Pelodiscus sinensis: one gene and its partners. The protein of the gene in region 3 interacts with the protein of the main gene of each other region in a pairwise test. Links are inferred from orthologs where the notes say so. Each region holds a gene or a part of one and is shown on either strand. Other genes may lie near its edges. The genes, in order: HMOX2, PFDN1 and GIT1.

Region 1 (7,351 bases), on a different chromosome or scaffold from region 3:
ACCATCACTCTGTAGCTAAGCCTTGAGGCATTGAGCCCATTCAGCTCCCATCTTCAGGATCATTCCCATCTGCCGTGGAATCTTCTGATCCCAGCATTCCACCATTCTCCCATTCATAGATTCCAGGACGAGAAGAGACTGCTGTGATCGTTCAGTCTGGGCTTTTGTATAGCACAGGGCTTGAAACGTCCCCAAAATAACTCCTCGAGCAAAGCTTTTAGAAAAACAGACCATCTTTATTTGAAAAATTGCCAGCAATGGATACGCTACCGTGACTGCTGGTAAATTGTTCCGATGGCTAATTACCCTCACTTAGAAATGTACGCCTTATTGTCCAGGCTGAATGTGCAGCAGGCACAGCTGGGGGAAGAGTGCATGTCCCTTGTCTGGGGGACAGACAAACTCTCTGAAATATATAGTATATAGTAGATAGCTGGCCCTTTCTTCACCCCTGCGCCCTGCTGGCCCAATGAGGGTATAGCTAGCCTGGTCCCCATCTGGCTCCTTGCTGCCCCATCCCTGCCAGTAGTCATTCTACACGAGCCCTTTCCTTTTCCACATTATAGAAAACAATCAGATTCTAGGCACATCCCATTGTCCTGGCACAACCAACCCCTGACCTTGCTTTAAGTTATGATAAGAGGAAGTTGGCTACCGAATTTGGTGGTCCTAGCTCTTACCCTTTAGGAGGAGTTCTTGAACAAAGGGACTCAGACAGATGGACAGGCTGACAGACGCACATTTCTAAAATATATAGTAAGATTATATATCAGGGAGGCCACTCCAAGAATTTGGTAAGTGGTCAAGGGCCACTCTCTTCCATGATATTAATGGGGGAGATGTGAGATCTGGGAGGGAATTTGGGTGAAGGAGTGGGTTGTGAGTTGGGGCATGAGTATATAAGGGGGTGCAGGGATTTGGGGTATGATCTGGGGCAGGAAACTGAGGTACAGGAGGAGGTGTCAGGTCTGGGAGGGGGTATAGGTGCAGGAGAGCATTCTGCTCTGGAGGAGGGGTAGAGGTCAGGGCACAGGGCATGGGAGGGTGTTGTAACCTGGGGCAGAATGCAGTGGTTTAGGTGGTGACCTAGGATAGGAGGGGCTTGTGACCTGAGCCAGGGGATTGGCATGCAGGGTCTAGGAGGAGATATGGGTGAAGAAGCATGATTGTGAACTGAGTTAGGGATGCAGGTGAGAGGACAGAGGGTTGGGAGGAGGGTGTGGGTGGAGTGCCAGGTGCAGGCTCTGCCTGGGAGGTGCTTACCTTAGGCGGCTCCCAGCCATCAGCCCAGTGGAAGCCTCAGGCAGGCTCCCTGCTTGCCGCAGCCCCACATACCATTCAGAGTGGCCAACTGCAGGGGCCATGTGCTCTCTGTGTGTTGCACTCTCCTGGGGGAGGGACGGGGACTTCCACATGCTACCTTACAGGGAAACTAAGACAGGAATCCATGTTCTCAGGCTCAGGTTAGATGCCCCAGTTAGTCAATGAGTCCGGAATTTATTTAGCGCAGTTCAGTTCAGAGCAGCAGCTTATCCATGAGTGAAGGATATGAAAGCTGCATCCAACACAAAGGGTGGCAGGTGGCACTGAGAAACTGAGCAGCAGAACAAGTAAAACAGCAAATCCTTCTCTGTGTCTAATTCAGGAGTTCTCAACCTTCACCATCGTGGGAACCACCCCTTACTAAAGAGTGTCTTGTGGGCATTTCCCTCCAGTCATGACTGCCAACCTCCTATTTATGACTGCTTGCCCATCTCCTTTCCTTCCTCCCCCCTCTGTTTGCTTGCAGACTGATTTCCTTGTCATTCACCATCATATATCTTCTCCATGGCAACTGAAGCAATTTCTTACAAATCACATTCAGTGTTTTAGTATTTGTCATTTCCTTTAATGGAAAAGAACAGCGGGAAAAAAAGAAGAACCAGCAACATGCGGCCAAACAGCTTTCTGCGGTTGCCCTAAAAGGGCCAGAGTTTGTGACCTATTGTTTTAATTTAAGATTGTGGGGAGAGACTTTTCCTTGGGAGGCCGAGGAGGAGCTTGGGAGAGGAATTATTCTTCCAGGAGCCTGAGAAGCATGGGTCAAGAAATTCACTAAGGACAGAGGATTACAGAAATATCCAAAACACAAAACCTGCTAGCAATGGGGGATCTCTTGGAAATGTAATACGGCAAAACACAAAATGTCCATTAAGTTCTTGGAAGGTATTGTAGACAACTTTATCTTCCAAGACAAGACAACTTGTTCCAGGAAATGGAGGAAATAACTGGGGGACAGCTGTTTTTGACTTGATTCTCATGAATACGAAAGACTTGATAGGAAGCTGAAGGTGGAAGACAGTTTGGGTGAAAGCGACCATGAAATGATAGATTTCATGATTCTAAGGAAAGGAAGGAGTGAGAGCAACAGAATCAGGACAATGGATTTCAAAAAAGCAAATTCACTCGAAGTACTGGTAGATAAAGCCAGATGGGAAGAAAATTCTAAGGCCATGTCTTCACTGGGGGAAGATTGATGGTGCCATGATTGATCTTCCGGAATTCCATTTAGTGGATCTAGTAAAGGCCCGCTAAATCAAACTCAGAGAGTGCCCCTGTCATAGGTCCTCACCTTGCTCTTGTGGGGAGTAAGGGAAGCCAGTGGGGGAGTTTGCTCCCATCAGCTTCCTGCTGTGGGAACAAGGGGAAACTCTAATTAAGGCATGTCAACTCCAGCTATGTAATTAACAGTGCTGGAGTAGCATATCTTAATTTAACCTTCCTCTTTATTGTAGACATGGCCTAAGGGAAAGAGGAGTGTAAGTCATCGAGCTTGTTCTCAAGGAGACAATGTTAAAGGCACAACTGCAAATTATCCTTCTGAAAGGAAAGATAGGAAGATTATTAAGAGGCCAATATGGTTCCAACAGGAGCTCTTTAAAGACCCACAAATCAAAAAGGAATTTTACAAAAAGTGGAAACGTGGACAAATCACTAAGCAGGTATACAAAAGAATAGTACAAACCTGTAGGAACAAACTCAGAAAGGCTAAGGCACAAAATGAGTTAACTTAGCAAGGGTCAGCAAAGGTAATAAGTTTTTAAAATACACTAGGAGCAAGAGAAAGAGAAAGTGTAGGTTACTTTTCTTATGAGGAAATGAGTGAGCTATTTATTACCTATCTTGCTTTAATCTTAACCAAAGTGGTCAATGGTGACCCACTGAATAGAATTAATATTAACAAAAAAGGGAAAGATTAGGATAGGAATAGTTAGATAATTTAGAGTACTTAAGTCAGCAGGTCCTAATGACATGCATCCTAGGGTACTTAAGGAACTAGCTGAAGCAATTGCAGAATTGTTTGAGAACTCGTGCAGGATAGGTGAGGTCCCAGAAGAGGTAATGCCTACTTTTAAAAGGGGTGATAAACGAGGACCCAGGGAATTATAAACAGTCAGCCTAACTTTGATACTAAGCTATTGAAAACGATCAACTTATAAGCACCTGGAAAAGAATGGGCTTATAAGGACTTTCTGTCGTGGATTTGTGAGACCAAATCGTTCCCTATCAATCTGATTTCCTTTGTTGACTGAGAGTGCGGGGGGGGGGGGGGGGGCAGAGGGTGGGGTGATCTGGGGCTAGGAGAAGGGGCAGGATGGGAGGTGCGTGGATGGGTGCGATTGGAGGGTCAGTGAGTCTAGTCTATTGCCTAGCGCGGGGCGGGGGGAGTCTGGCAGGCCCTGGGGCGCTCAGTGCTGGTGACAGACAGGATGGGACACAGGGGCTACGTCTAGACTGGCATGATTTTCCAGAAATGCTTTTAATGGAAAAGTTTTCCGTTAAAAGCATTTTCGGAACAGAGCGTCTAGATGGGCACGGACAATTTTCCGCAAAAGCACTTTTTGCGGAAAAGCATCTGTGGCCAATCTAGATGCGCTTTTGTGGAAAACAAATCTCAGCTGTCTACACTGGCCCTTTGGCACAAAACTTTTGCGCAAAGGGGACTTTTGCCCGAAGGGAGCAGCGTAGCATTTCTGCAAGAAGCGCTGATTTCGGACAGTAGGAAGTCAGGGCTCTTGCGGGAATTCAAGCGGCCAGTGTAGGCAGCTGGGAAGATTTTCCAGAGAAGCGGCTGATTTTCCGGAAAAACGGGCCAGTCTAGACACAGCCCCTGAGGGTGTTGCAGGAGCCAGGGACCCAACCCCCAGTGGGAGCGCAGGAGCCGCCAAGGGAGCGGAGGGAGCAGGAGGCTGCGCACCACGACCTGTGGGCGGGGCCTCTGCAAAGGGGTGGGCACTGTTACGTCACCGCGCCGATCACGTCAGCCTGGGCTGAAGGACAGAGAAGCGCGGCGCTGCCCCGCCCGCACATGAATAATTAATCCCCGCCGGAGGCTTTTGTCCCGCCCCTTTCAGCAGCCAGGGCAGCTGCGGCGCCGAGGGGAGCTGTTGCCGAGCGGGTGAGCGCGCGGGAGGGACTAGCCCTGAGGGGGCGCGGACCCCCTGCCGGCCGGGTGGGCGCGCGGCCGCGGGAGCCGCCTCGGGCAGGGGCGGGCGGCCCGGGGAGCGAGGGGCCGCGGAGCCGTAGCCCTGGCAACGGGCGTTGAGCCGGGCGCGAGCGCGGGGGCCGGGCCGGGGTGGGGCGCGCGCGGGTGGACGGGGCGGGCCCGGCGGGGTCCGCGCCCGAGGCCTCGTGTCACGGCCGCCCTGGCCGGGTGCAGCCGTTCCCGCCTGCTCCCCTCGCCCCTCCTTCAGCTTCGGTCTCCTCCCGCTGGGCCCGCCTGTGCTGGGCCGGGCTCCGCCCTTCCCTTGCTGCCCCGGGGCCCGGCAGCTGCTGCTACTCCCGGAGCCCGGCAAGTTTCGGGTGGCCGCAGTGTGGTCCGGGTGGCGCTGGGGTCTGGCTCTCCCCGTGCAGCCCCTGCCCCTCCCCGCCGTATTGCGCAAGGGCCCAGCAGTCCCCTTGCCCCCCATCTAGCTACTCTGTGTCGATCACTGGCCGACCCGCAGCGTCCTCCTCGTTAAGCTTATTGCTTAAATCATTCTGGTTAGGAACACAATAGAGCCTGTGCATGAGCGTATCTTTAAGAATAGAGCATACTTGTGTGACTGGAGGTCTCAGGCTAATTTCAGTGTTGCGTGTCTGGAGCTGGGTGTAAAAGGAACTGATGGGCTTGCTAAAAATTCTTCGTGGTAACGGGAGTGCGTTGCAAACAAGCAAGCAAATGTTTGACAAGTATTATGCGTGGATGAGTAACTGCATTACTGAAGCACAGAATTATAGGACTGGAAGGGATCTCAGTAGTTCACTCCCCTGCACTCAGGACTAAGTATTATCTAGACCAGCGTTTCCTCAAACTGTGGGTCCTGATATCCCATGGGGTCGTGAGCAACTTAGAGGGAGATTGCAAACAATTTAGAGGGGGGTTGCGGTATCATAAGTTTGAGAACCTCTGATCTAGACCATACCTGGTATGTGTTTGGGGTTTTAAGAGTAGGTAAGATGATGCAGATTTTGCAACTTCTTTAGGTAATTTATTCCAATGTTTAAATACCCTAATGGGAAGCTTTTCCTAATGTCCATCCTAAACTGCCCTTGCTGCAGTTTAAGCCTGTTGCTTCTTGTCCTATCCTCAGTGGTTAAGGAGAACAATATTTCTCCCTCCTCCTTATAACAACTTTCTCCAGATTACATAGCATTTTCTTAAGGAAGGAACTGTTTGTGTTGAGAAGACAGATTAGATGACTTTGTAAAGGGCCATATCACTGTAAGTAGAAATACCCAGAAAACACACTACCTGCTTTCTTATGGTATAAATGACTCATAAATGACTTGGTATTTTTATCTTTCTCTGTAAACAGTTTTATAAAAATGTACTAAAGAAATGGAGCCAATCGGAGCAGAGGCAGCAGGGCACTAGAAATATATTTAATCTGCTAACCATGGTAATCCATTAACAAGACACAAACAATATGTTACTCTTTTCTACATGCCTTATTTCTGGAAATCACTCAGGAAAATCTGCAGTCTTCTCACTCCAATGAAATTGGTTGGTACAACAGACTATGCCAGGCCTAGTTACATTTCTAATATGCCAGTGCATCAATCATAATGAAAACTGCTTGAACAGTGGTTAATTGATCCAGTGAGCCATAATTTGTGACCTAGCAGAGACAGAGATTTTCCTAAAGTAAATGTCAAAAAACTGCTGCTGGGAATTTAGTTTCCTCAATAGGTTCCTTCTGTTGTCTAGTCAAACCACAGGATATACTTGGACAATTTCAAAATAAACCAATAATGTGATTTTTTTTTTTTAATCGAAAGATCTTCAGTTTTCCCGTATGTCAGCATTTCCTTGTAGTATCACAATTCATAGATGTACTGCTTTTTGCTGCCCACCGGATACCTCTTCCGCTTAACTCCAGCTGACTCCTGAAGAAACTGACTGCTGTACTAGAAGTATTGTCTCTGGAATATCTTCATTCTGAAATCAGTTATAGGCATACACCTCTGAATTTATCTAGTTGGCTTGCTGTTTTTTTGAATTGTTTAGTGTTGGGCTTACTAAGTGTCTTGTTCAACCAGATGATTAACAGTTTACTCCTCTACCATTTAGGAATCAAAGATAATCTCTTGCTTGTACTGAGATAAGGAAGCATCCATCCCAGATGTGTTCCTTCCTGCAATCTTGAAAAGAAGATGGGAAGGTTCACAAATATCTACTCTTAGCAATCACAGGAAATCTCCCACCTGTTCCCAACAAATGTGAACAATAAAACTAAAAGATCATGTCCCTGCTTCATCAGATCCAGTTTCCTGCTTTTGGCTATGGACATACATTATTGTATGTTTAATTGAAAAGTGTCATACAGGTAGTCCCTAAGCTACAAATGCATCGATTTACGACCGTTCAGCCTTACAACCAACCTCCCATTAAGCATGTCCCCGAGTTACGAACACACAATCCGCGCTTAAGAACAGCGCAGTTACATGTAATTGAATGGGGTCCGACTTACAAACAGATCGAGTTACAACCAAGTGCTTGGTATGTAACTCGTTTGTAAGTTGGGGACTATCTGTACTCCTATAACGTACTTGGTCAAATGCAGCATGGCACATGAGCTTGGAGACACAATCATGTGAGGGACTACGTTCTAGCTGCCACAGTGGAGTGACAGTAACATGGAGGATGTTCCATGATATCATGGAAAGCCTACTCTCATCCATTTTTCCCCCTTCCATTAAAAAGCTCTTCTGCCCTCTTATACCCTGTATTTTCAAAAGAGACGTGGAACTAAATTTTCTATGGCAAGTCTGGCAACTGTAAATTATATTGTCAAGTAGTTATGTACAGGTTTCCATGAATAACTGGACT
Region 2 (7,041 bases), on a different chromosome or scaffold from region 3:
TCTAGATTGGCACATCGCCATTTTCACAATCGGGGCTTTTTTGTGGAAAACAAATCTGAGCTGTCTACACTGGCCCTTTTGCACCAAAGTTTCGCGCAAAAGGGACTTTTGCCTGAACGGGAGCAGCATAGTATTTCCGCAAGAAGCACTGATTTCTTACAGCAGGAAGTCAGTGCTTTTGCGGAAATTCAAGTGGCCAGTGTAGACAGCTGGCAAGTTTTTCCGGAAAAGTGGCTGATTTTCTGGAAAAACTGGCCAATCTAGACACAGCCAGTAAGTGTAGTTGATGCCGTGCTAAAAGCACATGATGCCACGTCCACATTAGGGCACTCGCCATCGCTCTCAGCTGCCCTGAAGGCAGAAAGGGGGGAGGACAGAGTCCCATCCAAACCGTAGTGTGGACAGAAGCCCTATGGAATTCATACAGTAGGCCAGGGCTGGCCAACCCACGGCTCGCAAGCTGCATGCGGCTCTTTCCCCCCACTTCAAGTGTGGCTCAGGAAGCCTCCCCCATGGCTCACAAGGCTAACCCTGTGCCCCTAAAAATGGCCCCCGTCCCCTGTTTCTCTGTGCTCACTGCCACCCAGAGTTCTGTTTAAAGGCGCAGTGTCCCCCCCCCTTTTTTTTTGCTCGACAACTTCCCCCCCCTGGCTCTTTGTGCTATATCCCCAACTATTGTGGCTCTTTGCCTTTAATGGGTTGGCTACCCCTACACTAGGCCATGTCTACACAGCACAAATAACCAGATATAAACTAGGCTGTTTTAACCCAGTAATGGCCCAACCTCGTTATGATTTATCCTTCACTGTGTGGCCAGAAAGAAAATATCATAGCCGTGGTATAGGCCACCGTATCTCTCAGGGTGGGAGGATGTGGTATTCTCCCTTATGCGGACAGAAGGGGACATGTTATAATGTGGCTGGACTACATATATATCCAGGAGAGAGCTGGATGTGTTTCTGTGTGTGACTGTAGGCTGGGGTTCCCTGGGATGGTTGGGGCACGGCTCAGCAGCCCTGGGGCTCACTTCTGGTTTATGTCTTACGTTTCCAAAAGCTCTTTTGTAAAGCAAGTCAGGCTCTGCCTGGATGAGGGGCCCCATGTCACAGCAAGGTCTTCTTAATAATCATCAGTCTGCCTCTGTCGTTAGCGATAGTTCTGACTTTGTGCCTTAGTTACCCATTTTCCTCTGGCCATAGGGATCTCCTCACTCTCACTAATGGGTGCGGAGACAAACAGCCCACACCCGCATGCCATCCTGCGCCGTGTCTGCCACACGGCTTTAGATCACCCAAATCAATACCAAATGCTCCCACTACGGCATGTGAAAGGGCGGTTTGCTTAAACCAACACAGCAAATCCAGCGCCAGCATTCTGGCTAGGAGGAATAACTCACTTCCTTGCTCTGCACATTTTTCTAGAGGTGACCTCACCTGGTCACCATTAGCAAAAAGGAATTTGGTTGCTAACAACAGTCACACAAAGCCGCTCCAGTCCTCAGCCCAGGAGCCTATTTTGCGAGCTTTTTGCATTGCACACCCCCTTTCGGGAATTCAAACTGAGAGTCAGCCTGAGGGTTGTGTCATTCTAGGATCCCTGTGTTTGGTTCTGCTCAGCATGTGACTCCCCCTAAGCTGGAAGAGAGCAACCCTTTCACAACGCATTCGCTTGTGCTCCAGTGCTCATCCCACGCACTGCAGCAGCCCTGCTGAATGAGACATGCTTTGGATCAGCACTGGGCCACCCTGGAGCTCGTGGATTGAAGGGGACAGTTCCTGGGACTCCTCGCTCTGATGTACGGGGCAGGCTTTTCAGTTCTTTAAAATCCCACTTGTATGCACCTGTCCTGCTAGTGCAAGGTGCTGGGCTGAGAACCCTGCACGGGACTGGAACAGTGGGCAGCCGAAGGCAGCTCGCCAGCCCTGCCATGCCAATGAACCCGGACTCTGACCTGGGAGGGCTCCGTTAGGTAGCGTTCCTATGACTCTTTCAGTCCTTGGCTCTCTGCTGAGGTTCCAATAAGACTGGCTATTTGTCCCTACTGTAGCTATGGTTTCTGTGATGAGGACACTTGTCCACAGGATGCAGGATTGAGACCTCCCTATTTCTTCAAATTAAGAAGCAGTTGGAGGCTGCCTGCAACGGAGGGGCAGAAATCCTTTCAATGAAATTGGAAAGCAACACATTTTAAATGGACAAAGGGAAATGCATTTTAATATAATGTCTCCTTAAACGGCTGTATATAGTTAGGTACGTTTCCAAAAAGGCTGGGAGAGGCTTTGTAAAAAGAACAACCCTTTCTATGAATGTCTGCAATGACAGTAAATTAGAGGAGCTGCCAATCCTCATGTTTCAGGCTGTAAGCTCATCACTGCCTGCTCAGGAATGAATTTTGCTTGGTGGTGTAGTATTGCACAAATGGATTACAGGGCGTTTATATCTTCTCTTGCATGGGGTATAAGAACCTGGGTGGTCAGGCACTGGCCAATGTTTCCATTAAAACCAACAGAAGCCACAGGTTCTTAGCACTTCTCAAGATTAGCCCTATGATGCTTTACGGCTGTGTCTAGACTGGCCAGTTTTTCCAGAAAATCAGCCGCTTTTCCGGAAAAACTTGCCAGCTGTCTACACTGGCCGCTTGAATTTCCGCAAAAGCACTGACTTCCTACTGTAAGAAATTAGTGCTTTTTGCGGAAATACTATGCTGCTCCCGCTTGGGCAAAAGTCTCTTTTGCGCAAAACTTTTCCAGTGTAGACAGCTCAGATTTGTTTTCCGCAAAAAAGCCCCGATCGCGAAAATGGCGATTGGGGCTTTTTTGCGGAAAAGCGCGTCTAGATTGGCCACGGACGCTCTTCCGCAAAAAGTGGTTTTGCGGAAAAGCGTCCATGCCAATCTAGACGCTCTTTTCCGAAAATGCTTTTAACGGAAAACTTTTCCGTTAAAAGCATTTCCGGAAAATCATGCCAGTCTAGACATAGCCTACATGTTTAAAGCACTGCACCCACATCAACAAATTAATCTGATCTAACATTACAAACCGTTCCAATTAAATCCTACTTTCCACATTGCATTTGATCACTACAAGTGCTGTGGGATTTTATGCTTCCTCGCTTGAGGCTCAGACTCTGGGAAACAAAACGGCTCCATAACTTTAATTCCAATGCGAATTAAAACCCACAACAGTCACTAGTGAACTGATCTGAATCCTGGTGGACAATGCTCTCTCAATAACAGCTTCTCCTTTCCCTTTGATTCACCCTCCCGTCATTCCTTGTGAAATCTTCCAGTGTAATTACACCAGGCCCTACCCTCACTGACGTCAATGGCATGCTCCTGTTGACTTTCACGGGAACCGGAATAATTCCTGGGATGCCCAGCTCCTCAGGCAAGGACTTTATCTTCATATTGGCTGATAAAATGCCAAACACACCTGTTATGTAATAATGCTAATTAATAACTACATGTACAGTCACGTGATACTGTTTCTGGTCCCTGGTTGGCAACCTATAATTACAGGCTACATGTCCACCTATATAGTGTGATGAGCTATCCATTATGTTTATGTGGCCTCTTGATCGATTTGCAACAGTGCAGACTTCCAGCCACTACAATTCTGCAGTGGCCTGGGCTGGTATGTACTGGCACCACTTTCTATGGGATGGAGTTAGAGCTGCTCCACTGTGTGTCAAAAGCCCCATATTGCAGATTCTAATGGTGATTCTCCGTTAGCTCCAATGGCCTGAAGTGGATCTGGGTGGTATCCCTGCTGCAGTGCAATGGGGGGGGGGGGGGGGTTGTCTTGCTGGTAGGGTTGACAACCCTCCTGGATTGCCTTGGAGTCTACATGGTTGTGTGCAAGGCCGCCCCTTGGGGGGATGCAAAGCTTCTGTGTGCAAGGCTGCCCCTGGGGTGGTGCAAGGCTGCCCCTCCCCCTCCCCCTTCCGCTCCCGGGTTGCTGGTCACAGCACGTGCTGCTGGGTGCTGAGCCAGCCGCTCTTGTTGCTGCGCACGCGCACTGGAGCAATTCCCGCTCCGTTGAATGCGCGTGCGCAGAGTGCGGCAACATGGCGGCGCCCGTGGACCTGGAGCTGAAGAAGGTACCGGCCGGGCCCGCCTGGGGCGCTGGGGGCGGCGCTCGGGGGCTGCAGCCGGAGGCCCCGGGGCCGCCCTTGCTGGGTGTCCCGAGCCTGGCCCGGGCAAACAGCGGGGCCCTGCCCCTCCCCCCGCCCGCGGCCCGGCCCGAGTCTCTCGGGGGGGCCCTGGCCCGTGTCGCTGGGGGGGCCTGGCCCGTGTCGCGGGGGGGGGCCCTGGCCCTGGCCCGTGTCGCGGGAGGGGGGGCCTGGCCCGTGTCGCTGGGGGGGGACCCTGGCCCTGGCCCGTGTCGCTGGGGGGGGCCCTGGCCCTGGCCCGTGTCGCGGGAGGGGGGGCCTGGCCCGTGTCGCTGGGGGGGGACCCTGGCCCTGGCCCGTGTCGCTGGGGGGGGGCCCTGGCCCTGGCCCGTGTCGCTGGGGGGGGGCCCTGGCCCTGGCCCGTGTCGCTGGGGGGGGGGCCCTGGCCCTGGCCCGTGTCGCTGGGGGGGGCCCTGGCCCTGGCCCGTGTCGCTGGGGGGGGCCCTGGCCCTGGCCCGTGTCGCTGGGGGGGGGGCCCTGGCCCTGGCCCGTGTCGCTGGGGGGGGGGCCCTGGCCCTGGCCCGTGTCGCTGGGGGGGGCCCTGGCCCTGGCCCTGGCCCGTGTCGCGGGAGGGGGGGCCTGGCCCTGGCCCTGGCCCGTGTCGCGGGAGGGGGGGCCTGGCCCTGGCCCGTGTCGCGGGGGGGGGCCCTGGCCCTGGCCCGTGTCGCTGGGGGGGGCCCTGGCCCTGGCCCTGGCCTTGGCCCATATCTCTGGGGGCCCTTCCCTTGCAAGCCCCTGCTGCTCCAAACGGAAACAGCAGCCCAACGTGCTATGGCCATAGTGCTCGAGAGCATCCTTTCCCAAGCCGTAACGGGCCCTCTCTCCCCCCCCCCCCATTAGGCTTTTACTGAACTGCAGGCCAAAGTTATCGACACGCAGCAAAAGGTGAAGCTGGCAGATATACAAATTGAACAACTCAACAGGACAAAAAAGCACGCACACCTCACGGATGCGGAGATTATGACTCTGGTGGATGAGACTCGCATGTATGAAGGTGTAGGGAGAATGTGAGTAATTTTTACTGATGGAGAAGGTTACGGCTACACTCTGCCCCATTGCCAATAAAACCTGCTGTAATTAATTGCATGTAGATTATGCCACTTTGAGAGATTTCTTTCTACAGTCAATGAAGCAATACCAGGTTTGTAAATATTAGATGCCTTCTGTATTACATCTTACCTGCTATACCTCTACTCTTCTTTTTCAAAACATACCTTCTTTGTATGAGAATGGGAAACTGTCGTATCCAGAGGTGGCAGTTAGAATAGTGGTGATCCTGCACAGGGGAAATTCACTCTTGGCCATCTGCAGGGCTTTTCTATCTCCTGTAAGTTGTTGAATACAGGGACAGAGGCTCTCTCATTGTCACTTATTTGTTTGAAAAGCATTCTGGCTTTTTTGTATCATACTGTGTTTGTTTAGGTGTCATCTTATCCCATTTTTAATTATCATTTCAATGGATCTTCGGTAAGTGAGACTTTAGTAATGGAGATTGCCTGTCTCCTAGAACTGGAAGGGACCTTGCAAGGTCATCGAGTCCAGTCCCCTGCCTTCACAGCAGGACCAAGTACCATCCCTGATGAATTTTTGTCCCAAATCCCTAAATGGCCTTTGCAAGGATTGAACTCACAACTCTGGGTTTAGCAGGCCAATGCTCAAACCACTGAGCTATCCCTCCCCCCTTACTGCACTGTGTTTCTCAGGATCAACCTTATAGGTACAATGTTTGCTACCTACCAGTTTTCAGACACAATTTATTTCAGTGAGTGATTACATATTTTTGTTTGTTGGTTTTTCTCATGTGAACTATAATCACATTTGGGACTTCATGAAAGTTTATCGATTCCACCAGCAGAGTTTGTATTCCTCATGAATGCTGATGACAAAATGTAGATTTGCAAGAAGTTATAATTAGCCTGTTCAACTTTATGCCTCATGAAATATGTATTTGTCCCTAAAAATTGTGGGTCTCCTAATTTAATGCACTCGTTCAGGGGCTGTGGTTGTACAAAGGAACTAAAATGGTGACTTCTTTAAGTTCTGTGAAAGGTGTTCTCTGGACTCTTTAGAGACCCAGGTGTAGTGAAATTGATACCAAAGAATTGTTTGTTCAGGTGCACTCTGGCATATATTAATTTTAAAACAATACTAGTAAAGAAGGAAAATGTAATCTTTGCACATAGGTTTCTTTTGAAGACAGTCCAATCTTAAACTAAAGCTACTATCGGGGTAGCCGAGTTAGTCTGTACAGAAAAAACAACAAATAGTCTGGTATAACTTTTATAAAGTGCTACCAGACAATTTGTTGTTTTTAAAGCTACTCTGTATTTTGATGTCTCGGGTCTGGCACATCAAAATTTGATGGAATGCTAATGATGCTTTCCTATTGTGATTACGATACCCTCTTGTAAAAGGCTACATGAACTAGTCTTTAAGTTAATAGCACATTCTTAATGGATAAGTGTTTGTGCTTAATGCTCTGAAAATTAAAGACAGACCAAGGTTTGGGAGTACTAAGGTTTTTCTTTCTGGTATTGTATCATAGTATCGACAAATTGCCACTTGAAGGGGTGTTCTGTGTCTCTCTTCTAGGGGTCCAGTATACTGTATGTACTGTCTCTTTGTGTCCTGTAAACTGCGAGTAAGCACATTATTCATGCCGCTGAATTGAATTTTGTGGTGTTATATGGAGGTCGTATTGACAGGCACCTTCAAAGGAAATTAATTTCAATCCCTTCCAATGAGGCAGAGAAGTGAATGATGCAGCCTGTAGGCAGATCAAAGTCATAGAGTTTAAGGCCAGAACAGACTACCAGATCCATCTAGTCTGTCCTCCTGTATGTCATAAGTCACTAACCCATCTAGCAGGCA
Region 3 (7,277 bases):
CGCTGCTCCCAGGCCACAGCCACAAGCTGCGGGCAGCACCCGCCCAAGCACCACCCAGGGGTCTCACCCGAGCAGGGCACGGAGCCCAGCGCGGGCAGCCCCAGGGACAGAGCCCAGCCCCCACGCCGCGGCTTGCCCTGCCCACACGCCCTGCCCCTCCTCAGCCCCAGCCGCCACGAGCTCAGCCTGCCACCGTGCGCCCCTTGCAGCTGGCGCCGGGTGGGCGGAGGCAGGGGGGCAGCAGCCCCAGCTCCCAGCTGGGCTCCCAACCTGATGAGCTGGGCCCTGGGGTCCAAGCCACAGGGACCGTGTGCAGGCCCCCCGCCGCTGGGCCGGAGCCCTGAGCTCTGCCCCACATGGGCCCAGCCCAGCGACCTGGCCAGCGCCCAGCGCTGGCACCGGGCCCTAGCCGGGCAGAGGGAGGTTTGGGAAGGGGCCGCCAGGACAGGCCTGACTAGGCCCGGACAAAGCCTCTGCAGCAGCCGGAGCCCGGCGCCCAGCTGAGGGAAGCAGGTTTGATGGGGGAGCAGGCCCAGCTCCAGCGCCTGCCACAGCCCTGCCCCAAGGAGTTACCCCTTCCCCATGCACCAGCCAGCACGCAAGCAGTGCCGGGGCCCCCGGCCTCCCCGCAGCTGAATGCCAGGAGGTGGGGGGCATGAGCACGACCCCCCCCAGCCCTGGCACCGGCCCCACAGCCCAGTTCCCGTTATCCCTGCAGAGGAAGCCGGGCTGCTGCGGATGGAGCCGGCCCGCCCCACGCTTCCTTCCTGGCTGCTCAAGAGCGCCTGGCCCAGGGACCTGTGCAGCAGCGCTGTGCTGACTCCCCGCACGGGGGCACCCTCCAGTCCCATGTGGCTCTGGGAGCGGGGAGGGGCCAGTGGCCAGGTTAGAGCCGGGGAGGGGGGGTGTCCCAGAGCTACCTGAAAAGGGCACGGAGGCCTCCTTCAGACACAGGCCTGTCCCGGCTCGCTACAGAGGAGCCCCCTGCCCAGGGCACAGCGCCGGTAAAGCGCCCGGGTTTCCAGCCCCCAAACAGCTCCCCAGCCTGTCTGCAGGGCACTGCAGAGCTCGCCACTGGTGGAGGGGCAGGCAGCCTGGCTCCCCCCGGCGCAGGAGCCCCTCCTGGCTGGCACCGGGGTGCACGACTGGGAAGGGGAGCTGGCCCCAAGCATGCCACCCCCTGGCTCGTCTCCGCTCTGCCCCACGGTGCGGGTGGGGAGGAAGCGCGCGTGCCCCACCCCCAGGCCCTGAAGGATGCGCGTGGGCACCTCGCAGGCGCGCAGATGGCTCAGGCACAGGCGGCCTTGGCAGGGAGACGGGCTGTGTCTGTGCTGTGTGCGCACAGCCGCCGGCAGGAACAGAACGCACCGCCCACCCCCCGGCTGCAGGCATCCCCAGGTGCCGAAGGGCACAGGGCAGGGGCAGCCGGAGCGACCCCACCCCCGGTGCCAGCCTGCCCTTCCCTTCCCTCTCGTAGCAGTAGGATCTCAGAAGCCACCGGGTGCGCAGGACGGCCTTGTGGCCCCGATCCCACCCTGAGCAGCTGGAAACATGGCACGGCTATAGCTGGCTCCCGGTGCCCGCCCATGCCCGGACAGCAAGGCCCTCTCCTGGGCACGCCAGCAGGGGGTGCCCTCTTCCCACCTCACCGCTGCTCAGCCCTGGGCCCTGCAGGGCACCTGCTTGGGAGCCCCCAGTACCCCTCGCTGGCATGTGCCCCAGGCCAGCCCATGCCAGGCACGTCCAGAGAGTAGCAGAGGGGGCAGGCCAGGGCTCCTGCCCAGCCCCAGGGGGTGGCTACCACAGGGAACTGGATTGGGGCCACAGATGTGCTGGGCTCTCAGCAGGCTGGGAACACCCCAGCGTGACCGCGCTCCCAGCTCTTGCCCAGCCCGAGGCCAGGCTGGCGCACACCCCCAGCCGGAAACAGCCCCGCTGGATTTTCAGGCTCATTTCCTCATGTGGCTATGGATGGAGGAGCCGGCTCCCAGTCCCACAGCGAGGGACCCCGTCACGCCAGGCTGGGCTCGGTGTGACACACGGGGGCACCACACCAGGGCCACGCCCAGCTCCCACAGACCATGTTCATCCGGGCACCGGGCCCCCATTCCAGCCCCGCGATCTGCCTACTCAACGCCCCAGCGGACGCACCCTCTCGCCCCGGCTGCCCCTGCCCACGGCACCCAACCAGACCCCTGCCGGGGAACCCTTCGTGCCCGACTGGCACGGCTCCCGGCCAGGGCTGGGGGGCACCCTGGGCTTTGGGAAACAAGAGCACTTGGCCTAGGGAGTCGCCGGGGTTGGCACCTGGGCAGCAGAGCCTGGGCTGGGGGGCACGGCGGGTGGGGCTGCTGGGGGGCAGGGGAGAGGCGCCCGGGCGGTGCGAGGGCTCCCACCGCCACCATGCGCCACGGCGCCGTGCCAGGGGCGCGTGCCCAGCCCGTGCCCAGCTGGCAGGGGCGCAGCGAGATTCCCCCCCCGGGCACCGGGCTCTCTGCATCCCCGCCAAGCCCACGCGGGCTCCATCCCCGGCAGGAAGGGCCCCCGCTCTACGCACCGGGGCGCGGGGGGGGCCGAGCCTGGGGAGGGCCGGGGTCCCCGCGCACAGCGCAGCCGCGGGGCCTGGCACTGGCCGGCCGGAGCCGCAGGCCGGGCGCTCACCTGGGGCGCTGCAGTCCGCGCACACCTCGCTGCGCGGCACCTTCCGGGACATCCTGCGCGGCGCGGCCTTGCGGGCCAGCTCGGGGCCGGGCCGGGCCGGGCCGTGCGGGGCTCGCGCCGCTCCCACGGCTCCGCGCTCCTGCAGGAAGCGGCGCAAGCCCGGCCCCTGCGCAGGGAGGGGTTGGGCGCAGGCTCCCCGCCCCCCCCGGGCCCGGCCTGCCGGAGGAAATGGAGCGGCGGGCGCACGGGGGCGCAGCGCAGCTCCAGCGCGCAGGGGCGGCGCGCAGCAGGGGGGCGCGGGCTCCGGTCCCTGCTCCATGCGGGCAGCCGGGGGCGCTCGTCTGCGCCGCGCCCCTGCCTTGCGCCCTGGCCCCCCGTCTGCACGCTGGGGCCCTGCCTGGGGCTGCCCGGGGTTCCCACCTCGGGGCCGCTCCGCTTTATTGGTTTCACACCTGCAACCCCCCCACCCCATTGGCCATTTGTTGTCCCTGGCTCTGCGCCCCTGCAGGAGGAGGCGGGGCCTTGGCTCGGGTCGGCTCCGCCCACTTTTGCAGGATTTCGGGGGGGGGGGGCTGCCAGCTGGCTCCCCTCGCAAGGTCTCTCCCCCATTGCCCCCCATGCATGGGGAAAGCTGCCACCATCTCAGCCATTACACCCCTCTGTGGGGCGACACTGCAGATCCCCCCCCAGGGCCAGCGGGGACTTCAGCGCCACTCTCTGGTGTGGTCCCTGCGTCCCCTGCCCCTTTCCACCCGCCAGGCCCGTCCTCTCAGACAGCCCGCTCAGCGCGTCCGCTGGCAGCCCCTCACCACTCTGCTCCCCGCCCCCATATGCCTGGGGGACCGACCCACGTCTCTGCTGCACGTTTCCACCTGCTCTCCAGGCCCGGCCCCGCACGCCCAGGGCCAGTTCTGCTCAAGAGCCGCCCGCCCGCCCGCAGGCCGGGACTAGGGATGTAACCGTCCATTAACCGATAAGCGAAAGCTCACAGGTCAGTGTTACAGACCACACGTATTCCCCTCCCCTCCCCTTGCCAGGAAAGGATTTAGCAGGCTGGCCAGCAGCCCGGCTCATGCCAGGTCTAGAACCTGCCCCTGCGGCGGCTCTGCTTTTAAAGTGTATCAGGAGCCAGGCGGGCGGACAGGCAGCCCCACTCAGTTCCGACTCGCACCAGGTCCAAGAGCTCAGATCCCCCTTGGACAGGGGCTGCTTTTTAAACTGGCTCCCCTTGTGGACCAGCTCCAGCCTGGCACCCCATGCTGCCTCTGATACACTGGCTGCCAGCCCCACCCCCGGGACTAGAGAATAGTCGACTAACCGATAAAAATGCACGAGGTTACTCGACTATTCCGTTAACCGATATTTAACATCCCTAGCCTGCACCCCAGCTGTGACAGCGGAGGAGGGAGAAACCCAGGGCAAGCTGGGAGCTACGGGGCTGAGTCCCTCTGCCCATCCCGGCCCTCCTCCCACCGGCGGCTGCAATAGCTCCACCGCCCCGCTCTGATCCAGGAACCTTGGTGGGGAACCCAGGTGCTGCTTGGGCCCAACGTGGGCATGGTTGGTGGTTCTGCGGCCACAGGTGCTGTCTGTGCCCATGCCCACACTCACGCTCAGCCTCTGTGCGCCGATCGGCGGGGAAAAGCCTCCCCCGCCCAGCTGGCCTCTTGCATGGAGAGCACCTGCCCAGCCCTGGGCCGAAGCACTGCTGTCCAGAGACACCCACGGGCACCAAGCCACCGCGCCTGGCGCTGGGCCCGGCCCTGCTGGGCAGGAGCCGTGGTGCAGACCCAGCTCGCTCCGCCCCCGGGTCTGCTCTGCACTGAGACAGGGTTGGGCCACAGAGCTGGGGTGCAGGATGCAGCTCTGGAGGGGGGATTGGGAAAAAAGACAAAATGCCTCTGGCGTGCCTGGGAACCCCAAAGAGCCGGGGAGGGGCCGTGAGCGCCTCAGGGCTAACCAAAGCCTGGAAGCCCGCCTGGGCCCTGGCCTGCCCCTGAGCTGTGGGAGCAGCCGCATCCTGCGTTCCCCTCCCCCGCCTGGCCCCCCAGCTCTTCCCAGCCCAGCTGCCCCTTGCACCCGCGAGGGTGAGGCCGCTGCCGGTTGCTGTGGAGACAGGTCTGATGTCACCGAGGATCGCTGGCTCCGCTGGGGAAATCGCTGGATCAGTTTGCGGGCGCCCTCCCCGGCATGTGTCAGAAGGGCCACCCCCTCCCTCCGGCAAGGACACGCTGAGCTACGGTCCAGGCCACGCTCCACAAGAAGGAGCACGTGACCGGGCGTCCCTGCTTCTGGAGCACCGTCCTCCAGGCCGCAGAGCCATAGGGTTGCCAGATGGTTTAACAAAAATACCGAACACCCTCCAAAAAAAAACAAACGGGAAAAAATTCTGTTGAGCAAAAAGAAAAAAAAAAAAAGGCACTGTGCCTTTAAATGGCGCTGAGCTCCTCACTTCCCCACACCTGCCAGATGCAGCAGGGGAAAATGCAGATGCAGCAGGCTTCCATCCGAGGGAAATCGGAAATACCGGACATTTCACATGTCCAATGTTTTCTGGTTTTTTACTGGATGGGGCAAACCGGACACCTGGCAACCCTACAGAGCCAGGCCCCTGGGCGCAGCCCACTAGCTTTCTCCCAATCACCCCCACCCTTTGGGAGCAGAGGGACGTGGGGGAGCCGCCCAGCCAGCCGTCGTCCCAGGGCGTTGCTCCCCGAGAAGAGTGGAACCTCGCCCCAGGGCGCCGGCTTCCCCCAGTTACAGGGGCCAGGCCCGGAGGCCAGCAATGCAGCACTAGGCGAGGAAGGGCAGGCCTGGCCCTGGACTCTCTCGGCGCCCGTGAAACCCGCGGGGGGGAGGGCAGGATCCTGAGGCCTGGGAAGGCGGGATGCACGTCCGGACGGGCACCGCTGCCCCAGGGCCGGCTTTGCCGAGGCGCTGGGCACCCTGGAGCCCACTGGCCAGGCTGGCGCTGAGCACTTCTGCCGGGGGGCGGGGCTGGCAGGACAGGACGCAAGCCCCCGGTAGCCCCGCTCCATTGGCAGCCCAGCAAATACCCCCCGGGGGTTCTCCCCCCTCCTCGCGCTTGCGTCCCCTTCACCAGCCTCACCCCCCCGCAGCCACCGCTGGGAAGGCAAAGGCCCTGTCTGCCCCCAGCCCTGTGCCCCGCACGTGCCGACTCGCCTGGGCGGAGGGCAGGGGCCGGCAGCAGGGGACCTGTGGCAGGTACAACCCCTCCCTAGCACTAGCCAATGTCTATGCCCGGGCGGGGAGGGGTTGCTAGTGCCGGCGCCCTGGGGTGGCACGCACCCTGCCCTGCCTGAGCAGCCCACGCCCTCGCCAGCTGGGCCCTTGCCACGCTGCAGGGGAAACGATCTCTGGTCGGCTCTGCTCTGGGGGCGTCCACACCCCTGTGGCTGCCTCCTGGCCCTGGGCTGCTCACAGCCGGGCCTGGGTGCTTAAGTGCCCATGCCCGTAGACAGGGGGTTGCTCTTTTAGGTGCCGGCCCACGCCGGGTGGGAGATGACTGGGCAGGGCGCTCCAACGCTGCCCTGGGGATGTGGCTGCGATAAAGGCTTGTTCACAGCTGGCCCAGCGAGCAACAGCACAGCCTAGACACCTGGTCTGGAGACAATGGGCCAGGGACCAGGGCACCAGGCTGGGTGTCAGGATGACTGCGGGCCACGCCCAGCTTTGCCACTGCCCTGCGTGGTAACCTTGGGCATGTCACTTCTCCTCCTGCCGGGTCTACCGTGTTGGGCTCCGTGGAGTGGGGACTGACGCCGCTACAGGTTTAGCTCCCTGCTCAGCTGCTGCTTGGAGGCCCACAGGCCTGGAAGAGCTGCTCTGTGGCCTGAGCTAGCTCCGGGATCAAAGTGGCTCCGGAAACCCCGCACACGGAACTCACACTAGTGAACCTTTGGGCGCACACTCAAAGTGTGAACCGTTCTAAGCCCCAGCCAGGGGCGCAGGGCACCCCCGAGGGCAGGGGGCGGGGCAAGGGCGTGACACGCTGTCAGCGTGCCCGTTATCCCATCGCCATGGCGAAGGATGGGGCTGTAGCCCAGGGGCCGAGGGGAAGACAATCCGCCAGGGCACGCTAGCAGCACTCCAAGTGTGACGCGTGTCTCTCTGACCCCCCCGCGCGTGGGCATGCACGACGCCACGTCGCCTGCCACGTCGCCTGCCACTGGGCTGGAGCATGGCCGCTGCTGAACAATGCAGAGCCACACACGCTGGGCCGAGAAATGCCAGCCCCAGCTGGGCGTGCGGGGGCTGCTCCTCGGAGCTGAATGCCGCTTTGTTGCGGCTCCTCGAGCAACCCCCCCTCCACCATGGCGCTGGGCTCAGCCGGCACGTCGCAAGCGGCTGCCCCGGCCCTGGAGAGCTGGCGCGCTGGGGAGGAAAACAGGCCTGGAGAGGGCTGGGTCCGGAAGGACGCCCCTGGTAATCCCCGCTCCTGCTGGGGCCGAGCGTGTGTGGCCTGTGGCTGCAGGGGCTGGCGGGGGGCGGAGGCAGAGTGGGACGGGCATGCCAAGCACAGGGGAATGGAAGGGGAAGCGGGGAAGTGTGTCATATACCCTGTACTGCACCCTAGGCATGGCCTCTCTCTGCCC

What was found.
Region 1: the proteins of GIT1 (region 3) and HMOX2 interact in a two-hybrid assay, tested with the Homo sapiens proteins (2 studies listed by BioGRID and IntAct). The link is inferred for Pelodiscus sinensis from reciprocal best matches to the Homo sapiens genes GIT1 and HMOX2.
Region 2: the proteins of GIT1 (region 3) and PFDN1 interact in binary tests that used the Homo sapiens proteins (3 or more experiments, as listed by UniProt). The link is inferred for Pelodiscus sinensis from reciprocal best matches to the Homo sapiens genes GIT1 and PFDN1.

Annotation. Positions count from the first base shown.
Region 1 is NC_134726.1:3,838,743-3,846,093, forward strand, and holds the start of HMOX2 (heme oxygenase 2), read left to right. Parts: upstream 1-4,284; 5' UTR 4,285-4,438; intron 4,439-7,351.
Region 2 is NC_134727.1:2,154,827-2,161,867, forward strand, and holds the start of PFDN1 (prefoldin subunit 1), read left to right. Parts: upstream 1-3,972; 5' UTR 3,973-4,065; coding exon 4,066-4,098; intron 4,099-5,010; coding exon 5,011-5,177; intron 5,178-7,041. UniProt on the Homo sapiens protein: Binds specifically to cytosolic chaperonin (c-CPN) and transfers target proteins to it. Binds to nascent polypeptide chain and promotes folding in an environment in which there are many competing pathways for nonnative proteins.
Region 3 is NC_134731.1:2,290,625-2,297,901, forward strand, and holds the start of GIT1 (ARF GTPase-activating protein GIT1), read right to left. Parts: upstream 3,012-7,277; 5' UTR 2,981-3,011; coding exon 2,662-2,980; intron 1-2,661. UniProt on the Homo sapiens protein: GTPase-activating protein for ADP ribosylation factor family members, including ARF1.